3 linked regions of the Tamandua tetradactyla genome follow. The protein of the gene in region 1 purifies or fractionates together with the protein of each later gene. This does not show direct contact. Links are inferred from orthologs where the notes say so. Each region holds a gene or a part of one and is shown in the gene's direction. Other genes may lie near its edges.

Evidence for each region.
Region 2: the proteins of GLMN (region 1) and CUL2 purify together in Homo sapiens (co-immunoprecipitation; 4 studies listed by BioGRID and IntAct, counting the BioPlex papers as one, with this or other methods). This does not show direct contact. The link is inferred for Tamandua tetradactyla from reciprocal best matches to the Homo sapiens genes GLMN and CUL2.
Region 3: the proteins of GLMN (region 1) and CUL9 purify together in Homo sapiens (affinity purification with mass spectrometry; 3 studies listed by BioGRID and IntAct, counting the BioPlex papers as one, with this or other methods). This does not show direct contact. The link is inferred for Tamandua tetradactyla from reciprocal best matches to the Homo sapiens genes GLMN and CUL9.

What each region holds. Positions count from the first base shown.
Region 1 is NC_135337.1:32,016,964-32,024,940, forward strand, and holds the start of GLMN (glomulin), read left to right. Parts: upstream 1-4,749; 5' UTR 4,750-4,954; intron 4,955-6,126; 5' UTR 6,127-6,153; coding exon 6,154-6,192; intron 6,193-6,621; coding exon 6,622-6,747; intron 6,748-7,977. Other genes in the region: putative RNA polymerase II subunit B1 CTD phosphatase RPAP2, read right to left, coding at 2,312-2,368, 3,551-3,596, 4,289-4,361.
Region 2 is NC_135327.1:216,104,862-216,112,189, forward strand, and holds the start of CUL2 (cullin-2), read left to right. Parts: upstream 1-4,268; 5' UTR 4,269-4,596; exon of another isoform or gene 4,597-4,973; intron 4,974-5,918; 5' UTR 5,919-5,988; intron 5,989-7,328.
Region 3 is NC_135331.1:100,755,067-100,763,030, forward strand, and holds the start of CUL9 (cullin-9), read left to right. Parts: upstream 1-4,908; 5' UTR 4,909-4,937; coding exon 4,938-5,535; intron 5,536-6,080; coding exon 6,081-6,235; intron 6,236-6,556; coding exon 6,557-7,072; intron 7,073-7,964. Other genes in the region: SRF (serum response factor), read left to right, coding at 67-162. UniProt on the Homo sapiens protein: Core component of a Cul9-RING ubiquitin-protein ligase complex composed of CUL9 and RBX1. The CUL9-RBX1 complex mediates ubiquitination and subsequent degradation of BIRC5 and is required to maintain microtubule dynamics and genome integrity.

The sequences.
Region 1 (7,977 bases):
AAAACCAAAAACCGTGAAATTGTAACACATCAAAGTATGAAATATGTTCTACAACTAATTGTGATGCTGTGCTTTGAAATCTACAGCTTTTCTGTATATATGTTATTGTTCACAAAATAAAGAAGAATAAAAAAGTCGGTTGTGATGATAAAAAAGTATTTAAGCATTCTAGCCTCATATTCTGGAGCAGCTAGAAGGAAAAATATGAGAGGATCATATGGTAGGCCAATGCAAACTCTGGGATCTATTCTGTAACCAGTTTTTGAAGAGTGCTTTGAAAACTATTGCTTTTTATTTCTTTGCTTTGTATAAATGTTATACTATACAATAAAAAAAGTTTAAAAAAATGTATCAAATAGGAAAAAAAATCTTACCAAGAACTTAGGCTCAGAAACTATAAGACATTGTCAAAATAAATCAATGAAGACCTAAATAAATAGAAGGATATTAGTGTTCATGGATGGGAAAACTACAAATTGTTAAGATGTCAACACTACCTAAACCAATTTACAGATTCAAACACAATCCCAGTAATCTTTTTTGTAGAAATGGAAAAGCCGATTATCAAATTTATATGGAAGAGTAAGGGGCCCCAAATAACCAAAATCATGCTGAACAAGAAGAATGAAGTTGGAGAACTCATATTTCCTGATCTTCAATCTTATTACAAAACCACAGCAATCACAGCAGTATGGTGCTGGCACAAGGACAGACAATATAAACCACTGGAATCAAACAGAGTTCAGAAATCAACCCTCATATTTATGGCCAAATGATTTATGACAAGGGTAGCAAGTTCTTTCAATGACAAATTCTTCAACAAATGGTGCTGAGAAAAGCACCCTACTCATACCCTACCTCACACCATATACAAAATGAACTCAAAATGCATCAAGAACTTAAATATAAAAACCAAACCTATAAAATTCCTAGAGGAAAACAGTTTCAGGACTTTGTATTAAGAAACGGTTTCTTAGAGTTTACACTAAAAGCATAAGCAACAAAAGGAAAAAAAAAATAGATAAATGGGGCCTCATCAAAATTAGAAACTTTTGCTTATCAAAGTACTTTATTGTGAGGATAAAAAAGAATATTTACAGAATGGGAGAAAATATTGGAAACCACATATCTGTTCAATTTTCAGAATAGAAAGAATTCTTACAACTCGACAACAAAAAAGATAAGCAACTCAAAAAGTGGGCAAAGAACCTGAATAGACACTTTTTCAGAGAAAATAAATAAATGGCCATAAGCATACAAAAAGATGCTCAGTATCATTAGCCACTAGGTAAATGCAAACCAGAACCACAATGCTATACCATTTCATACTCACTAGAATAGCCAGTGTCAAAAAACAAAAACAAAAATAAGCATTTGAGAGGACAAGGAGAAACAGAAACACTCTTTCACTGTTAATGGGATTGTAAAATGGTGCAGTTATTGTGGAAAACAGTTTGCCAGTTTCTCAGAAAATATATTATCATATGTCCCACAATTTCACTTCTAGGTATAGTGTATACCCAAATAACTGAAGGCAAGAACTCAAACAGATATCAGTATACCAATGTTTATTACACCATTTTTCACAACCACCAAAGATGAAGGCAACCAAAGTTTACACCAACAGCTGAAGGGATAAACCAAATGTGGTATATACATACAATGAAATATTATAGTCATAAAAAAGAATGAAGTTCTAATGTATGCTACCACATGGACAAACCTTGAAAATATTATACCAAGTGAAATAAGCCAGAAACAAAAGGACAATTATTGTATGATTTCAGAGACAGAAAGCAGAATAGTGGTTTACCAAGTGTGGTAGTTAGATTCAGTTGTCAACTTGGCCAGGTGAAGGCACCTAGCTCTGTTGCTGTGACCATGAGCCAATGGTACGTGTTGCTGATTACATCTGCAGTCGGCTAGGCATGCCTGCTGCAATGAATGATGTTTGACTTAATTGGTTGGTGCTTAAATGAGAAAGCTCAACGTAGCACAGCCCAAGCAGCTCAGCACACCTCATCTCAGCAACTGCGGCTCAGTCCAGGCCTTTGGAGATGCAGAAAGGAATCACCCCGGGGAAAGTTGTTGGTACCCAGAGGCCTGGAGAGAAGGCCAGCAGAGATCATTCTGAGCCGTCCCATGTAAGAAAGAACCTCAAATGAAAGTTAGCTGCCTTTCCTCTGAAGAACTAACGAAATAAATCCCCTTTTATTAAAAGCCAATCCATCTCTGGTGTGTTGCATTCTAGCAGCTAGCAAACTAGAGCACCAAGTAAGAATGGGGAAATTATTGCTTAATGGGTACAGACCTTCTTGTTTTGGGTGATGAAAAATTCTGGTAAAAGATAGTGGTGCTGTAGCATAATCTGGAAAATGTAATTAATGTCATTGAATTGAACACTTAAAGTAGCTAAAATTGCAAATCTTACATTTCTTAAAGATAAAATTTATGCTACCACAATAAAATTTTAAACACAAAAACTTGAATCACATCACTCTGTTACACAGTTTTCTCATTTGCATTTAGAACAATAATATAATTTCTTACCATGGCTTCCAGATACTATATGAACAGGATCCTGCCTCTCTCCCCTTTTCCTAGCCCCTTTCCTTCTCTGCTCAGACTACCCCAGCTATCTTGCCTCTTTTTTTTAACTGGTCAAGCACTTTCTCATCTCAGGGTTTCAGAAATACTGTCACCTCAGCCTAGAAGTCTCTCCTCACTTGTGTTTTCTTTGTTTAACTTTATCTCAGCTTATCACGCCCTCAGAGAAACTTTTTCTCAAAAAACCTACAGCCACTCTCCCCACCAACCTTTGGCTAAAATGGACTTTCATTCTTCATTCATTCTAACATCATAGTCTTTTCTTTTGATAGCACTTAACACAATTTGTAATTATCTATTTATCTGTGATCATTTAATTGGTATCACTCTCTTCCACTAGCTAGGAACTGTTTATTCAACATCATAACAGCAGCGCCTAACATGAATGAATGCTTAAATAAATGAATAAATGAAGCCTAAAAGACAATACAACTTAGTGAGTCTTCTCAAAGAAAGAAATGATAGATATATATTTTTATCATCATCATCATAGACTACTACTATTCTAGAAACCTTTTATTACAGGTGATAATCCCTTGTGTTTTTGAGGAGAAGCCAAGACACAGTACATGACAACTTTGTTACAAAAATCCAGACTTGATGTAAAAAAAGAACAGAAAAGGCTTCTTGGAATAATAAGGAGAGAAATTTGGACAGTGACTCCCTGGTGTACCAATAAAAGGAGTACCTGGTTAAGATGTTTCATAGACATCTTTCTACATACACTGATATCTCAGTCATCAACGTAAAAGTTTCAGATTTGGTTTTCTTGAAGCCTGGAGTAGAGGGATATAATAATGAATGTGGGAATTTACAGTGTTTCCCAGGCTGGCATCTTTCCTCATAACAATTTTCTCTATGGGAGCACTCACTGTTTTAAAAAATGTCAATTAATATGAGATATATAGATAAGTGAATGTAGTTGCCCAAGTAGTTCTCATACCTTTTAGAAGCATCTTCTTGTTTCAAAGCACTTGTCAGTTTAGATCCTGTATTTAAAAAAAAAAAAAAAAAACAAACATAGTGGGCCAAGTATGCACAAACACACTAAGTACAGGTCAGACTCGTACTTACAGAACTCAAACACACCAGACTATCTTTCCTATTTTTCTACACATTTCATTTCCAATCTTGTTTGTAAGATATGGGAATGTAGTCCAAATTTTTTTTGTTCTTTTTTAAACTTAATTTATTCCCTAATTTTTCTTAGTTAAAACTATCTTTTTAGGGATTGAATTTTCACTGTATCAGAGTTGCTTAGTTAAGCACTCTTGAAAATCTGAGTTCTGGAGAACTCTCTCTCCATCCTCTAAATGCTCGCTCCCTGGGGGAAGAGGGGACGTTCCCACAATTCAGGGAACCCGAGTAGGAAAGTTGCAGCACGTCTGCCAGGAAGATAGGTCTGGGGGCCGAAGCCAGCTGCACACAGCCCGGCGAGCGCCAGCGCTAGGCTCCCAGCACCTCTACAGCTGGGGCCAAAGCCCACGAGGGGAAAAAATCCCGGAACACTGGTGTGTGCCTGTAGGAAAAATCTTGGAACACTCAGGAACAAGGGAAGCTGTCCGTCTCTCGGTCCCGCAGACCCTCTCCCCTGGGTTCGGGAAGCCCCGTGCGCGTCGGTCGGAAACTGTCAGGGCCCTGTTCTCAAGGTCCAAACATGGGAAGCGGTTTTCGTTCTTACCTGCGGCCTTTCGAGAAGTGCCGGAAGCTCGGGCCCTGCGGCCAGCTGGTAGCGGCGAGGCCCCGTCAGCCATTGGGATACGTCGTCTGAAAATCGGAGACCGGCGCTGGCGTCTCTCCGCCAGGCTCCGCCTCCCTTCGCGTAGCGCCGGAGGGGGCGGGGAGACGGAGCCGGCCGGGGCGGGACCGGCGAGCGGCCTACGCGGCGGGAGGAGGTGAAGGAGGGCGCTCGGACGGCTAGAGGGCCGACTGGTAAGTATAGGCGCCGGGAAGTCCCCGGCTGCCGGGGACAGTGGGTGGGCTGTGAGGCAGGACCCTGCGCCGTGGACAAGCCAGGCTTCGTGAAGCGGTGGGGCCCGAACCCCGCAGCGGATAGTGGTAGGGAGAAATGGCTTCCCCTGGATGCCTCCGCACTCAGTCTGAGCTTTTATCCGCGCTCGAGCGCGGCACGGTGAGGACCCGGCGACCACCCTATTGCAGGGCTTGGGCCAGGCCTGCCATCCGGGAGAAAAGATGGCCTGCGGGACCGGAGCAGTGTTTTCTCGAAGGCCGCCGGTTGCTCTGTCTCCGTGCGATGAAGAGATTTTAATTACTGAATTTGGGGGACTGCAGTCCTAAAGAGAAATGCCCCAGCCACACTTGGGATGGGAGCATTCCAATCTTCTCAGTGAGTTGTGTTGCACCAGTATTTTTGACAAATGGGACATTAGAAAAGGAAAAAATGACTGTTAGTTTTCCACTTTTTGGAAGATTTTCAGTGAAGAAATAATTTGTCTTATTAAAACCCTTGCTATAGTTGCTACTTGTCTTGCCCAGTGGAAGTACTCTAAAGGGTTGTTTTGTTTTTGTTTCTCATCTTTAAGATGGTCCTGGAATACTGAAAAGATGCAACGGGAGGTTTTTTTTGTTTTTCTTTTTAAATTTTTTTTATTGTATAATGTATATACAAAGCAAAGAAAGAAAAAAGCAATAGTTTTCAAAGCACTCTTCAACAAGTTTACAGGACAGATCCCATAGTTTGTCATTAGCTACTATACCATCCTCTCAGATTTTTCCTTCTAGCTGCTCCAGAATATAAGAGGCTTTTTATCACCACAACAGACTTTTTAATTCTGTTTTGTGAAAAATACCACTTATACAAAGAAAGCAATAAATTTCAAAGCACAGCACAGCAATTAGTTGTAGAACAGATTTCAGAATTTGGTATGGGTTACAATTCCACAATTTTAGGTTTTTACTTCTAGCTGCTCTAAGATACTGGAGATGAAAAGAAGTATTGATATAATGATTCAGCAGTCATATTAGTTTTTTAAATCCTCCCTTCTCTGTGTGACTTCACCATCGCTGATTTTTCTGTCCCACTCTTTAGGCCTATTTGGGCTATGGCCTTTCTAACTTTTTCATGTTACCTTGAAGGGACTGTCAATAATATGGGGTAGGGAGATGGAACTAGCTGATACTCTGGAGAGGCTGAGCCCTCTAGGGTTCAGGTCTTATGTGGCCCAGGGACCCATCTGGAGGTTGTAGGTTTCTGGAAAGTTACACTAGTGCATGGAACCCTTGTAGAATCTTATATATCGTCCTAGATGTTCTTAATGATTGGCTGGAATGGGTTTGGCAAGTTATGATAGGTAGCAATGTCTAACTGAAACTTAAAGGTAGCTTTTTATATAAATAGATTTTTGTTTTCTTAGTCTAACACACTTTGAATAATAACATTTTCAGCTTTTAAAATTTCCATTTTAAAATGAAACGATTCAGAATAGTAAAACATAGTTAATGAGTACTGAAATGTAACATCAGTGATAATTTAGTGTATTTTATATTGGTACATTTCAGCATCAAAACAAGGAAAAATAACCAAGAATGGCTGTGGAAGAGCTTCAATCCATAATAAAAAGATGTGTAAGTAATTTTTTCATTTCTTTTTGTAAAAATAAGTACCTTTTTAAGCTACACGAAGGGCACAGATTAGTTGTAATTACATTTGAGGTCACTCAACTTGTTTATCTTCTTTAATCCTTGCTTTTTTTGACCTGTGAATAAATAGCATGAGGACAGGAGGGCAGATTAGATTATTTTGGTGGCATCTTTGTCTAAATAACCTTTATAAATTTTAATACTGGTCTTTTCATAGATTTCTTTGGTATGGTGGATTTCAAGATCATTGAAGTATTTATTATGGTGATCCTATTTTTTATATATGTACTTTTGTGCAACTTATCTAGAATTAAAATAGATTTCCTTTTTTTCAGAGAGAAAAAATAAGTCAAATGGTTATTATATTGAATTTTAATTTTTTGTTTGTCCTTTTTGTGTTTTGGTTTTGCCCAGCAAATCCTAGAAGAGCAAAATTTTAAAGAAGAAGATTTTAGCCTGTTTCAGTTAGCAGGCCAAAGGTGTATAGATGAAGGACATACTGACCAACTATTAGAAATTATTCAAAATGAAAAGAATAAGGTAAGAGCAGTCTTTGCATGTACTTCTCAGTCTTTACTGGGAATAGAATATTCACATGATGCTATTATTTGTCTGTTCATTTATTCATCAAACATTTAAGTATCAGTTAGGAACAAAGTTACGGTACACCATGGAAAACAAAAAATGTAGTCATATTTTCAGAAGCTTGCAGTCTGGTGGAAGAGAGAAACATGTAAACAGCTAACAATAAGGAGGCAGAAGAAATAAGTACTACAGTAGAAGTAAAAGATAAGGGCTTTGGGAAGTAGCGGGGATTACTTCTGGATGAGGAGATCAGAGAGGGCATTTGCATTATTAATTTACGTTGGGAAATATAAATATCAGTCCAGCTGCATATTCATTTTTTTTTTGGCAGTCTGCACAGATGTGTAGGGAAAACCAAATTATTAGCAAAACAATATTTTGTGTTCATAAAATTAGACCAAGAGGAGAGTGAATGACATCACTGGTGAGTATCATCCAGCAATCATTCTCCACAGTGAAAATGTATCTTATTTGTGGATCAGGGACAACTTTTTCTTGGGAGACCATGTTGGAGACACACTGCCAAACTTTGTATCTTTGTACTTCACTTCTTATGGGTACAAGGACATCTGTCTTCTTTCTAATAACATACCCTTTCTTAATTTATAGTGGGGTGTATTTATATAGAAGTTTTCTTGGTTAATATCACAATCTAGTCATACTGGCCTGTGATTATATCCAGAGCACCTTGATTGGATTTGGGGGATTCTTAAAACTCTAAATTACATGTTGTTATAGAATCTCTTAGTCAGTTGTTAGAAAAATTAGACATTTTATTTAATACATTTGTTTTTGATATATGTTTATGGTAACTCTGTAGCCCAAAATAAAGTAAATTTCATTTTTTGTAACCCTTTTTGATTTTCTGAATTGTATTCTCAGAGGATAACCTTTGAGAGCACCTAGCTGTTGGCTAATAATAATAAACATAATAGCAACTAATATCTATTGAGTATTTTCAATATACCAGATGATTTAAGCACTTTACATCTATTAATTCATTTAGCCTCTCTAGAATCCAGTAGGGTAGATACTTCTATTAAATTTAATTTATAGATAAGGATACAGAATCACAAAGGTTAAATGGCATGCCCAGTGGTAACAGCTTTTATATGGCACATCCAAGATTCAGACCTGTGCAGCCTGCTACCAGAGAACTTTTTAACACTCTCCTTTGCCTCTAGT
Region 2 (7,328 bases), on another chromosome or scaffold:
ACTTGAGATGTTTTCAAGACAGTAATATCAATTACCGACTCATGCATCAACAAATAAAAAGGGTACTATCAAGATAAATTTCCATTGATGTCATTTTTAAGTTTTTGTCTTCATTCTCTTATTCTATACTGGATATCCTAGAGACACAAAAAAAGGAAACCTGGGAGTGGAAACATTTACTTTTAATAACAGCATACTCTGTGGATATTTTATTGTGCAGTTTCCATGGTAAAACATATTTTAAATGCCCTTCTATTCTTTAAAAGTAAATTATTATGGAATCTTGAATAGGGCCTGAGATTTGGTTGGTCTGCTCAGGTAAGTGGATTTCTCAATAAATCCCAGAGTACTGTGGGCAATGAATAAAGAAATATTCGCAAAGTCCGCTTGGCAGACTGGGGAGAAAGGAGGAAATATTCAACTTCCTCATTTGGAGAATTTCTGATACTCTTGCAAGCAGTGGAGACAACCAAATCAATAGGCCAAGCCCTCAGTCTTGGGGTTTGTTCCTATGGAACTTATTCTTGCAAGGGATAGGCTAAGCCTACTTAAAATTATACCTAAGAGTCATCCCCAGAGAAACTCTTTTGTTGCTCAGATGTGGCCTCTCTGAGCCAACTCTGCAAGTGAATTCACTGACCTCCCTCCTACGTGGGACATGACTCCAGGACGGTGTAAATCTCCCTGGCAACGTGGGACAGAAATCCTGGGATGTGCTGACACCTGGCATCAAGGGATTGAGAAAGCCTTCTTGCCCAAAAAGGGGAAGAGAGAAATGAGACAAGATAAGATATTCAGTAGCTGAGAGATTTCAAACAGTCCAGAGGTTATCCTGGAGGTTATTTTTATGCATTATATAGGTATTCTTCAGTTTATGGTGTATTGGAGTGGTGGAGGGAAGTACCTGAAACCATTAAGCTGTGTTCCAGTAACCTTGATTCTTGAAGATGACTGTATAGATATAATGTTTACAAAGTGACTGTGTGACTGTGAGAACCTTGTATTTGATGCTCCTTTTATCCAGGGTATGGACAGATGTGTAAAACAAAATGGATTTAAAAAAAATAGGGGAGACAAAGGTTAGAATGAATTGAGTATATGGAAATACTAGTGATCAATGAGAGGGGTGAAGTGTATGGCATGTATGAGTTTCTTTTTTCTTTTTATTTTCTTCTGGAGTGATGCAAACGTTCTAGGGGATGATCATGATACGAATACACAACTATGTGATGATACTGTGAGCCACTGATTCTGCACCATAAGTGGAATGTATGTGTGTGAAGATTTCTCAATAAAAATATTTGAAAATTATAGCAAAATTAAAACTAAAAATTGAAAAATAAAAAATTAACCTAGCAATTAAAAACGTTTATTTCTTCCTATGTGTAACAGATGAGATACATTTTCCCTGGAATCTGTATTTTTAAGTTTCCCTACTGATAATATTGATATCGAAACTGTATTTGATACATGATAACTCTTCTCAAAGTAGGTTTCTCTACATGGAATCTAGCTGTTTCATAACGTATAAACCCTTAACAAAATTCAGACATTTCAGGCTTATTTCCTTAGCAATCAATGCTGACAGTACATCAAAATATCAATGGCTTAGCTAAGTGTTTGCATTGTTCAGTTTTAGTTTGAGAAATCTATATAGAAGGTACAAGACATGTGAGAGCTTTCCAATACATTATTCCAACAATAAAGCTGGCTCAATTTTCTGGCCCAATGTTTACTTGGAGAAAATATAAATTTGGACAGACTCAGAAATGGTTAGCTGTACCGGTAAAGATGTGTCCAGGATTCCTTATGTCTATTAATAATTTGAAACCCTTCCTTAATTTTCATGAAATGGCCATAATTCTAAAGACGACTTCATATGTCAATGATGCAATGACTCCCCTCAATAGGAAAATAGAATACAGTAGAAAACCAGAAGACCTACGGGACCTGTTTCTTGCTAAATTCATCAGTAGAAGCAAATTTCAGTAACAATGCAAAAACAAAGACTAAAAAAGCTCCTGTATTTATACATTTAATAAAAATTTATTCACATTGTCTTACAAAAATAGGGATACAAAATACCAGTGTAAATACATGTGAACACTCAACCAAATGATTCCACGCTGACCATTAACTCACTAGGAAAGCATATGCTTACACTGATCCCTTCAGAGTCACCAAAAATGTCTGTGATTATCAACACTTAACATGAAAATACTTTGTTTTACTCATTCATATCAAAACCATTTAAATATGTCTTTTTAATTGTATTTGGATCAATAAGTAATTCTTTAAAAATCATTTTTATTAATACTTAATTAGCATTTATTGGTCAAAACATTGTTTGAAATTTACCTACCTCTGGGAAGGGGGAATTTTTTTTTAAGTTACTTTTAAATTCAAAGATTTAAAGGCTGCTATTATTTTATTATGTGGAAAGAAACTTGTAACCCACGAAAGAGGATCAACAGTAGTAAAAAAATGTAGCATCCACAAGGAAAAAAATTGTAACTGTTTGAAATAAAAAGTTATTGATCAGTCTTGGAGATATTGTGTACACCTTTGTTTTTAACAATACAAAACAGCTGCAAATATACTGAGATCATGATCTAAAATCGTATTTCAAAAATCATGACATTAATCATAGGCATTTGAATTTGAGTTTTAAACTACATATTTTCAGGTTTTCTTGGTGTTAGTTTTTAATAACTACAAGACAGAGAACACGAATAATTAATGTAACCTAATACAATTTTCATACCTGATCTGCGCCTCTAGGATTATATTCAAGGGAAGGTGGTTGCACTCCATCAGTTTAGCAAATAAGCAGAAACTTGATACAAATCACGTAGGTAAGCCACACTGTAAGAAAGGCTCTTAAATTTTTACTCAGACTTCCGGGCTGACCATGTAAGTCAAAATTTCTGAAAATTTGACTGCATTATTTAACACAACGCAGAAAACGTCTAAGTGGTTGCCAATTTAGAGCTCTGGTATACACGTAATGGATAGCAGGATGAAGAACTATGCTGAATAATGCACTTATTCCCTACTCGACAGGTTCTAGGAACCTTGCTAGGTGACCCTAAAAGGGCAAACATCAGAACAAGAGAAACTGCGCTTTCTACCAGCTGGAACGGATTTGTTCCTCCTTCACAAGCAGTATCTCATCAGACCTATCGTGTCCGGACTCAAGAGATTCAATCGCGATGCCCCTCTTACTCATATTTCAGAAGAAATGGGTCACGTCAATTCATTTCTAGACCGAGTACATAAAACTGAGACGAAGATGTTATTAATCGTCGGCTGCGGTAAACAAAACCAACATTCGCAATTCTCGTTTCTTTTTTTTTTTCTTTTCTCCCCCTTTCCAAAGAGTGAGAACCGCATTCATGAGAGCAATAAGGCTTTTCCGACTTCTCCCAAGTTCAGAAGAAGTCGAGGAGGACTTAGAAATCTGCCGAGCCCGTTTCAGGCCTAGGAGAGTTATCTGATTAAAATTAAAGCAACGAGCGAGCCAACTGGAGGAACGAGGTGGACGAGGGCGCTAAAGCGGACGCGCTGCGCATCTCCACAAGGGCCAGGGGGCCGGGCGAGGTCGGCCTGCGGAGGCTGCGGGCTCCAGTCCTGGGCCGGGCGGCTGGTGGCGTCTGGCAGGAGGCGCCGGACTCGGAGCGGGAAGCCCCCGGGGCCGCCCGGCCGCCGAGCTGGGGACGAGCCACGTCTGGGGCCGCGGTGCTCTCGTCGGGGCTGGTCTTGCTGGCGGGCCCGGAGCACGGCCCACCTCGGTCCCGGAGGCCGCTCCCGCTGGCGACCGGGTTGGACACCGGCCGCCGCCGCCGCCGCCGCTTCCTCGGCGGAGCCCGGAGCCCGGGTGCCCGCCAGCCAACCCGCCGCAACCCCAGCCCTCCGGGCCGCGGACCCGGGCTCCGCTCCGCCTCCTTCCTCCGCCTCCTGCTCCCGCGTCGCCGACTCCTAGGTCTCTAGGTCCGGGGCAGACGCGCAACTTACCCGCCGCGATGAGTTTACGTAGCGGACCTCGTCACTGATTACGGACGGGAGGAGGTGGGGACGCCGAGCCGGGCCCGCCGCTCAGGAGCAGCGCTGCCACCCAGCAACCCCGCGCTGGCGCCGGCGGCGGACCCACGTAGCCCCCACGTCAGCTCTGATGCGGCAGCCGCAGCCTCTTCGCCTAGTCGTCCCCAAATGTAGCGCCGACGCCGACGGAACCGCGTCCCCGCGCCCTGTCCTCCCCTCCCCCACTCGGCGACCGCTCTCCCCGGGAACGCCCGGAGGGGAAGTCCAGGCCTGAACTCCGCCCCCTGCCGGCCGCCAGCGGGAGTGCGGCGCTAACAATCCAACAATTAAATGGAACGGAAGGGGGGGGGCCCTACGCCGCGGCTGGGAGGAGGAAACTGACCTGGGGGTGGGGAGGAAGCCCGGGCGGGGGTGGAGCCGAGGGGCGGCGCTGGGAACCGGAAGCACCCCGAGCGATGCTGGAAAAGTGACTTGTTGCACACCCGCTAGCGGCCTACATTTGTGTCGAGAAGTCATCTTTTTTCCCGGCTGGCAGTCGCTGCAGCCCCGGTCAAGGTCTGTGGCCATGGCGGCTCGGTCCCGGGTCAGCAACACGTTGTGACAGGAGCGGGCTTCGGGAGAGCGCCGCGTCTCCCGCGACCGGTGACTGGTCCACCGTCCTGAGGAACGTCTGGGGCCTGCGGGACCCCTGCTGGACGCGGACCCCTCCCGGAAGTCCGGCTGCCCGCCTTGTCCTAGCTTTCTGCCGCTTCCCCGGTGACCTTGGCACAAGTTGCTCTTCCCAGTGTTTCACTGTCGCAGAGAAACGATAGTCCGCACTAAAAGATGTGACGGAGGAGAGTAAGGTTTTCTCTTAATAAGCAAAACCCCTGCCTATAAAGGAGGAGAGCTGAGTTTTCAGCCAAGTGGAAATCTTGGGCTTTCAAGTTAAGGTTTGTGAGAGGAACGTTTCTAGACCTGTTGTAAACTATACACCTATTTGTATATACTTAATAGGATACTACGTCGTCTTTAACACTGGTGTAGTAGGCTGTCCAAAATTTAGAATATTGAGCCTAAAAATAAACCGTTTACACTTAGGAAAAAGTAAATTCCTAACAATGATTGAAAACCCAACTCTGTGATAGTCAGGAATTCACGCTGGAAACCTCTGTCAAGGTCAACCCCTTCGGTACACTCCTTGAAGAGTTGCTGTGAAAATAAAAGCATTTATCAGTGTAGTGCAGGCAGAGAAGGGAAGCTTTGTGAGATATTGGGGAAAGTCCGTGCAGGTTCGGAAAAATGCTGAACTCTTGAGCGGTAGGTTTTGACCAATCTGGGCCAGTAAACTAAGCAGAGGTAAGAGAATAAGTACCCGGCAAGTTCATTTCCCTTTTGGCACAGGCAGAATTGTGTAGCAACAATGCTTGTCCCCACCTTTTAAATATTAATTTCTTATTGAGGAACATTAGCAAATTAATAGAAAGTCAAAATAAATACAAAGTTAACCACATCCTGTTTGAGTGTGTAGTTAGACGAGGCTGACACAGAAAATGTATCCATAAGTAATCAGTGCAGCTCATTTTAGCCCAGAAAAAAAATGGGTCATTAGGAGGAAAGAAAACTAAAAAGGGCTGGACTACTAAATCCTGAAAAATTATACTATTCATTGTTATGAAGGTTGATCAGGTGATAGAAGTCTAGTTAAAATGATTTAGGAGAAATTGTGATAATTTCTGTTTCCGAAAGACTGTTCTCCACCTACTTGATTATTCCTAAATTTCCTTAATGAAGGATAAATTATATAGTTAGATTTTGTTAGAGAAAGTGCGTAAAATGGAAGTATGGAGTGGTAAGTGACATATACTAAGATGTTAATGTCATATCGAATCCTCAAGGGCAAAGGAAGAAAAGTCCGGAAGACAGTGCCTAGAATCTCCAGGGAGAGGACAGAAGTTATCAGGAAAGGTAAATGCAGTTTCCTATTGCTGCTATAACAAATTACCACAAACTTGGCGTCTTAAAACAACCCAAGTTATTATCTTACTATTTTGTAAGTCAAATGTCTGACACAGTTCTCACTGGGCTAAAATCAAGGGTTGGCAGAACTGGAGGCTCGTAGGAAAGAATCTGTGGCCTTGCCTTTTCAGCTTCTAGAGGCGGCCGGGATTCCTTGGCTAATGGGTTTCTTTCTTCCTCAGTCTTCAAAGCCAGCAACAGTTGGTAGGAGTTTGGTTCATGTTACCATCTATTTGATTCTCTCCTCTCTCTCCTTCTTCCACTTATAAAGACCTTTAAGATTATGTTGCCCCACCTTGATAATCTGGAGTAATTTCCCCAATCTCAATGTCATTTTATTAACAATATTAATTCCATCTATAACCTTAATTTCCCTTTGCCACCTGTCTTTGTTTGCCAGGGCTGCTGTAACAAGTACCATAGACTAATTGGCTTGAACAACAGAAGTCTATTGTCTCATGGTTCTGAAGGCTAGAACTCTGAAATCAAGGTGTCATCAGGGCCATGCTTCTCTTAAAGGGAAGAATATCCTCCATATCTCCCCTGGCTACTAGTTTGTTACAGAATAGCTCAGTCTCTGGCTCAGTCACATGGTCATTCCTCTCCCTGTCTCTTTCTCTGTGTCAGAGTTTCCTTGCTTGTTAGAATACCAGTCTGATCAGATTAGGAACCACCCTACTCCAGTTTGGCCTCATCTTTACTAATCACACCATCCTATTTCCAAATAAAGTCATAGTTACAGGACCAGTGATTAAAATTTAAACGTCTTTTTAGGGGACACAGTTCAATCCTTAACACTACATAACTGTTATAGTCACAGGTTATAGAGATTAGAATGTGAACATTTTGGGGGACCATTTCTCTGCCTACCTGCAGGAAAGGATTCCAAAAGAAGCTTAAGTTCCTGAAGATAAACTACCCACCTCTCAGTATCATCTCTTCCAAAGCATTCAACCATTTGATAAGAAATTTTAATAACTGATGTTTCACTTTCCCATATCTATGCCTAAGTAAAGATTATAGTAATTTTTTTTTGCATGCTGTATGGTGGGGGTAGCATTTCACTCTTTTTCCATGTGACTATCCTGTTATTGCAGCACCACTTGTTGAATGTGGGGAGAGGGATAGGGTGGGGGGTGGAGCAGAAAGTGCATGGGCTGGAAATAAAACCTGGGTCTCCCACATGAGATTGTAGTAATTTTTAAAATGGGATATCAGGGATTAAGAAGAGCAGCAAGGTTATATTCTCATTTTCTACCATCAGCCTGGGTAGTGCCAGTGTCCTCATA
Region 3 (7,964 bases), on another chromosome or scaffold:
CTGGGGGGCCTGAGCAGGCTGGTCTGTTCCTTCTCCCTCCTTCCTCACGAACCCCCTTGCCTCCAGATGGCTGTCATAGGGCAGCAGGCCGGGAGCAGCAGCAACCTCACCGAGCTACAGGTGGTGAACCTGGATGCCGCCCACAGCACCAAGAGTGACTGATCCGCCCTGCCGCCCTGGACAGATGGCCCAAGGGATGGCACCACTTATTTATTGTTGCCTTTTCACGTTTTCTTTACATACACGTTGACAGGCCGCGGAGGGAGGCGGGGAGGAGGAGTGGGTAGCCACAGAACTGAGCCCTCTCACTCCAGCCAAAGACATGGGCCTGCCTGCTCTCCACCCTGTCCTTCCCCCCCCCTCCCTTCCATCTAGCTCCACCTCCCATTTCTGTTGATGGTGGGCTCCCCTCCCTCCTCAGACTCCCCTCGCCAGCTTGGCTCAATGTTTGCCATGAGTATTAGCTATACCCAATGGGACCGTGCCCCACCTTCCCACACACAGGCCTTCTGTGGGACTAGGCACTGTGTCCTCCCCTGAGGAAGCAGTTGGGGCCCTCTCCCCAGCCTCCTTGCTGACCCCAGGTTAGCACTGTGTCTGCCACGGGCTGGGTTAAAAGAGCCCTGCCACTGCCCCTCAGGGAGCCAGCTGGGGAGACGGGGGCTTCTTCCCTCATACCACCACCCTCTGCCCCTTCAGCTCCTGAGTAGCTGGGCCTGTGCACTGGGCAGGTTCCTGGGGCCATTTGCCCTGCCTCATCATTCCCCTTAGGCCTCCAGGGGCTTCTGGGATGGAGGGAACCACCAATGTTCCCTTCTCCCCCAACCCCTGTCTTTCCCCCCCCCTCCTCCCAGCTGCTTTACTTAAAGTTGATTCTGAACTTTTTATTTGAGGAGACGAAGTGAAAACAAATCTATAAATATATATTTTTAAAATATTTAACTTTTTTTTATGGCGTTTTTCTCGTCCCCCTCCCTGCCCAAACTCCCCTTCCCTGGAGAGCCCTTGGGCTCCCCAGAACTGACTGGGCCCCTGGGGACAGAGCCACCCCATAAGCTTGGAGCCCACCAGTGTGGGAGGGGAGATGGGATGGCCGGGTCCTGGGTTATTTCCAGGAGAAAGCCGGGGGAGGGGCCCTCAGGCCGTGCCCCGATGGGGTGGGGAGGGTGACCCACAGCTCTGGGCCTCTTTTTGCCCTATAGGGCTGTTGCTAGGGAGGGGAAGAGGGAGACCAAATGTTGGGGTCGGGGGGAGGGTGTCAGGTTTAGGCAACTGACTTCATTTGTGCCACATGCATGGGCATTGCAGCCTTGTGCTCCCCGGGCCTGCAGCTGCCTGGGGCCCAAGTTGCAGTGAGCAGGGTGGGGTCTGGGAGGGGGTGAGAGGCAGGATTGGGGGTCAGAAGAAGTGAGAGAGCTCTTAGGCTGAGTGCAGCCATAGGGGAGCCAGAAATGGACAGCTCTCCCAGGGAGTGAGCAGCTACTGTAACTTTTTTAAATTAAGACAAAAGCCTTGAAGAAAATGACTTTATTTTTCTAAGTGTAACCTCAGTATTTATGTAATTTGTACAGGGGCCGTGCGCCACCCATCTCTACCCTCTTTGGGGTAGACCTTGAGGGTGGGCCAGCATGGGGGAGGGTCTTTTACCCTATGTCAGAGCCTGCCTTCACCACCTATATCCAGAAACAGAGCTTTTTCAGAAACATGACAGCAGTTGGAGTGGAGTTTTCTTAGTACTTTACAACTGCCTTCAGTAAGAATAAACCTGCTTCTGTGATTAGGTGAAGGGGTGGGGGAAGATTTTACGCATAGCCTAGTTGTCAAGGGGATGATCTGCCAACATGTTTGAGAACCCCCTAACCTATAACCCCCACTGCTGTCTTACCCTAATTTGGGGTGCTAAGATGGAAATCACCTTTCTGGGCTTTCTCCTGGAGATAGCTGGGGCTTATTGGTGGCTTACCAACCTGGGTCATCGCAAAGCAGGGGCCAGAGATTGGGGAGTTTGGGTCTCAGGTCTGTAACTGCCCAGCCCCCTTTCTCTGCTCTTGTTTCACTCCACCACCACCACTCACTCACTCCCCACTCCCCCACCCATGGGAGGAGACTCTGATGAATTCCTACTCTCCTTCCCACAAAAGACAGACCCAGTGAATGAATCAGGCAAAGTGCTTCTAATGTGTGTTGTGTGAGCGTGGCCTTGTGAGAACGTGTGTGTCAGGGATGAGGTGGCATTTATATGTGCAGCGACCCTTGGTGTTTCCCTTCCTTGGTGGCTCTGGGGTATGTTTGTGTGTGTATGTGTACCTGAGTGTGTGTATGTGTGAATGTGGGTGTGTATGTCAGTGGTTTCTACTTCCCCTGGGATGCTGACCCAGGAATAGTGGACATGATCACAGTCCTATGTACAGAGCTTTCTTTTGTATTAAAAAAAAATACTCTTTCAATAAATGTATCATTTTTGTGCACAGACTGTTGGGTCTTTGGCTCTGTTTTTCCACATAGGGAGGGAGGGAGGTGCGAACATGAAGCAAACTCCAAAAAGTTTGTGCGCTGAGAAGCAAACTTTGCTTGATGAAAACTGAAATGTTAAGGGGTAGGTTTGGGTGGGACCCTGTCCAGTTAATTTAAGGATCAGTTTTGGGGGCAAGGGACTTTCTCCCTGTACTTGGCTTTGTTGGGGGCTTAGGCCAACATTTTAATTAAAAAGAAAAGTGACACAACCATCCCAAGGTATTACTGAGGAGGGTGGGCAACACATGGGCACGTGACCTACAAAAACCTCAAAGGACAGCCCTAGGGTTGGAGTGTGGGTAAGGGTCAGTGATTTAGGTTACTAGGTTTGAGGGAGATAAGCGGATGTTACTATGGGTGTTGGAGGATGAGGAAGGCAGACTCAGATAAGGGGAAAGGCATTTTAACGTTTGCTGTGATGGAAGGAGCTGTCTGCTCTGCTTCTCTGCAGAGGGAGGAGCAACGTGACCCCAGATCCCCATTTATCCCTGCAACGCGGCACTTGCCCCGCTAATTCCCTCGCCCCAGTGCAGCCGCCTGCGGCCACCACGCATGCTCCACTCGCAGTCTCTAACGCAGCTTTCGGCTCTGGGCCGCGGTGGGACCCGTAGATGCGCGGCCGTGCGTGCACACGTTTTGTGACCCGGAAGGGAGCTGCTGGGGAGGCGGGGCCAGGACTGCGGGACCGGCCGCTGGGTTCCTGCTAGCGCCAAGCCGGGAGGTGGGAGGTGAGAGGAAAGTTCCGCTTCTACCCGGCCCCATTCCCTATCCCTCCCCAGTCCCCTTCGAGGCCCCTTTCCCACTGTCTGTGGGGCTGACGGAGAGAGCCTGGTCTTGCTCGTTGAGACTAGCTCGGTTCTGTCACCCATCTCGGACCGCACCCCGTTCCCAAACCTGTGCCCATTTCTTCCCCGCCCCCACTGTCTGTAAGCTTGGGCTTGACCTTGTTGCCTGCGTCTACCTGCTGGCTTCATCCCCGCGTCCTTGCAGCTCACATCAATTTGTTGGTCCTACTCTAGGCCCACCCTACGGGTGTGTTCCCCACCCCCTTTCGTCCCAGTTGAGGCCTATCCCATTGTTTTACTTCTCCAACCTTCTCTAATCAGGAGCCCATCACATCAGAGTTCCCCGTTCAAACTGGTTCCCGGTGCTAACTGGAACCTTGCCCCACACCCTTGTTTCCCCCTCCCCTTCACTCCTGTCTTCTACTCTTATCTTCTGTTCTATACTCCCACATGACTCCTGCCTAAATTGCCTTTTCTCTGCCTGGGTTTACTTTCCCCTCTCATTCTCACCATTCTCTGTTACCCCTACACCTGCTTCATTTCACTCATATCTCATCCCTATCACTAGCATCACCTACTCTCCTAGAATCTTCTGGCTTATCACCTCTCTCAGTTTATCTGATGACTGCCCCTACCTTCCCCTCTAACAATAATAATATTAGGTTGTTTACTGAGTGCTCACTACTTGCTGGTCACTGTTTTAAGTGTTTTACATATGAGATCTTATTAAATCTTTAAGTCAACTTCAAGAGGTAGGTATACATATTATCACCATCTAGCAGACATGGAAACAGGCTCAGAGGTTAAATAACTTGTCTAAGGCTTTGTAGATGGAAAGCAAAAAAGCTAGAGTTCAAAGGGCATTCTTCTGAGCGAAATCTGTAATAATACCCCACCATCTCTTGGAGTCATCCCCTACTGTCTCAATCCCATGGTTACCACCCTTTGACTTAGATACAGCGTAAGTATGAACTGGGACCTGGTCCTTTTCTCCCATACTTTTATGTGATTCCTAGGTCCATTTTCCCCACCCTCACAATACTCATATACTCTCCCCATCCAGCCATCTGCTCCCACATCCCAGCCTTCTTTCCATCTCCATTTTCTGAATCTCCCGAGGCCTACTGCTTTATATTCCACATTCCACATTTGCCTCTTCATTTATATTACTTGTCCTGCCCCTCCTCTATATCAACTTTCCTTACGTGTTCTGGCCCCACTGTCTCACATGCTGCTGTCCTTCCTGCTCACTCATGCCATCCTTTTAGTCCTGATCTGTATCCCTTAGCCACCCTGCTCTTCTGCTTAGACTGTCCTGCTTAACTGTCACTCTTCTGTTACCTTGTCTTTTACTCTTCTTATTCTCTTGTAATTTCCGTTTCTTTAAGAAATGCAGGATATCCTCTTGCTGTCCTTTTTGCTGTCCTTACTCCATTCTCCTTCTCCTATAATTAAGTCCCAGAGTGTGTTCAACTATTTATCCCATCCTATATCTGGCCCTTTTTTTTGGCCTCTGAATTCTACCTGCAGCCTACCAATTACCCCCCTCCATGTCTCTAGACTCTTGCCCCTCCAGGTACTCTTATCCCTTTCCTATACTGCTTTTATATTTCTCATTATGTGTCTCAGGAGGTCAGGATGGTGGGGACATGGCGTGCCGGGGACATCATGGTGCCCTTGGGGTCCCAGCTGCAGGCATATCCTGAAGAACTCCTTCGACAGCGGCCTGGACATGATGGGTGTCCTGAATACCTCATCCGATGGACTGTCCTGAGGTGTGAAGAAATTGGCAGAGTGGGTGTGGACTCCGAAGGCAAGGCAGAGCACATCTTCATGTGGTTGTCAGCCCCTGAGGTCTACGCCAACTGCCCCATGCTGTTAGGCGAAAGAGTGCTATCTAAGGGACCTCAGCATGAGCCTGCTGGGGTTTCAGGAAGTTTTCCCAGGGATCCAGGAGGCCTGGATGAAGTGGCAGTGGGAGAGATGGAGGCTGATGTACGGGCACTGGTATGCAGGGCTGCCAGGCAACTGGCAGAGGGTGGGACCTCTAGCCTCACTGCCGCTGTGCTCCACACCATCCATGTGCTCAGTGCCTATGCCAGCATTGGGCCCCTCACTGGGGTCTTCAGGGAAACGGGAGCTCTGGACCTGCTCATGAAGATGTTGTGCAACCCTGAGCCTCAGATCCGTCGGAGTGCAGGCAAGATGCTGCAGGCTCTGGCAGCCCATGATGCTGGTAAGAGTCAGCCGGGGGAAGGAGAACATTGGAGAGAATGGGCTACAGGGAGTAAGAACAGAAAGAGAAGAGCTTCCCCAACTCTGTAAGAGAACCTAGTATTTGGCGAATATCAATTCAATGCAAAGGAAAAGTATAAATTAATAGGCTATTGCAGGTACTATATAAACAGGATGAAGTGATAGCACCTGGTTTTATCTGTCCTTTTCCAGTGCAATGGCAAAAAAGAGAATGGGGTAAATTTGCATTTTTTAAATTGTGAGTTGAGATTTATTGGTTGTGAAATCAATTTAGTGGATTTTAAAAGAAACGTAAAATATCAGAGAACAGCACTTAATAAGGATAAGCTCTGTAGCATGAAATGTGTATTTCATTTGTATGTACACTTGCTTGTACTGGGGTTACAATGTGAAATGTGCTTCTTACTGTGGTTCTCAGTCTCAAATAAGTTTGAAGCCCTCTAGGGTAGGCAGTAGAGACTAGAAAAAGCAGGGGGGGAGGTATTGGGGCTTGAAGAGAAGATATGGTTTGGGTGTGGATTACAGGGAGTCGGGCTCATGTCCTTCTGTCGCTGAGCCAGCAAGATGGCATTGAGCAGCACATGGATTTTGACAGCCGCTATACTTTGCTGGAGCTGTTTGCAGAGACCACATCGTCTGAAGAACACTGCATGGCCTTTGAGGGCATTCATCTGCCTCAGGTACCCCAGCTCTGTACAAGGCCTAGGGCATCTGAAAGGTGGTTCAGGACTGTACCTCAGCACCAGAACTACTTAGAAGCTTGTTAAAGTAAAGGTTTATGTACCCCTCTCTACCCCAGATTTTCTTAGGATCTCTGAGATTAAAATTCAGGAATCTGTATTTTTAAGACATTCCCTTTTTGTTTCTTACACAAACCAGCGTTTGAGAACTACAGGCTTAGGGATGAGACCTTTATTTTTTTCTGTAGAGGATGACATTGAGAGGAAAGGGGAGGAGCTAAAGCTGGGAGATGAACCTAGGCCAAGGATTATATCCTACAGATACCAGGAAAGCTACTCTTCTCCCTGGTGAAGCGCTACCTGTGTGTCACTTCCCTCCTGGATCAGCTGAATAATAATCCAGAGCCAGGGGCTGGAGACGGAGGCTCCCACTCCCCCGCGAGGGAGGAGTTCATCCGGGAGAAAAGCCGTGCTCAGCGGAAGCTGGAATTCTGTCTGGCTGTGGGCAACCTCATCTCAGAGCTGGTGCGGAACATGGGCTGGGCCCGGAACTTCAGTGAACAGGGCGCTTCGCCTCCCCGGCCGGCCCGATCCATCTTTCAGCCCTGCGTTTCGGGCCCCAGCCTTTTACTCCCCACCATCATCAGCACCCCCGGAAGGCAAGGGCGGGCTTTTCGCCCGCGCTGTGAATTCTCAAGCCGCAGTGGCTATGGTGAGTACGTGCAGCAGACGTTGACGCCGGGGATGCGAGTGCGGATGCTGGACGATTACGAGGAGATTAGCGCAGGCGACGAGGGTGAGTTCCGGCAGAGCAACAACGGCGTGCCTCCTGTGCAGGCGAGTGAGCGCATGGGCATGGGATACTATTGAGGCTGTCATTTGGGTGGGGGCCATGCAGGGGGGTTGGCATGGTAAAAGGGGGCCAGCAGTTGACCCCTCAGGGAGGAGAGGGGCCATTTGGAGGGCTGAGAACATTTGGTGTGGTGGAGAGACACAAACCCAGAAAGCAGAAACTGATATATGGAGAAAGGCCCCCAATGGGGTGTGGGTTAGGTGGGAGAGTTGGAGCAGAGGCTGTCAAAGTTAGAAAGAGATGAGAGGTGGGAACACTCATACATTGGAATGTAAATATGGTATGATAGGAATGTAGAATAGTATGGCCACTGTGGAAAACTGTTTGGAGTTTCTTCAGAGAGTTAAACATAGAATTACCATATGACCTGGCAATGCCATTCCTAGGTATATACCCAAAAGAATTGAAAGCAGGGACTCAAACAGATATTTGTACACCAATATTCTTCATTATTCACTATAGCCAAAAGGTGTAAACAAGCTAGTGTCCATCTACAGATGAGTGGATAAACAAAAGGTGGTATAGCCATCTAGTGGAATATTATTCAGCTGTAAAAAGGAATTAAGTTCTGAGACATATGACAACATGGATGAACCGTGAAGACCTCATGTTGAGTGGAATAAGTCAGAGATAAAGGGACAGATACTGGATGATTTCTCTTATATGAAGTATTTAGAATAAGCAAATTCATAGAGACAGAAAGCAGAATATGGTTACTAGAGTGGAGAGAGGATGGAATGGGGAGTTACTGCTAAATGGGTATGAAGTTTGGTTTGGGATGATGAAAATAGTGTGGAAATAGATAGTGGTGGAAGTTACACAGTTTTGTCAGTATACTCAGTGTCAACTCATTGTTCGCTTAGGATGGCAAAGATG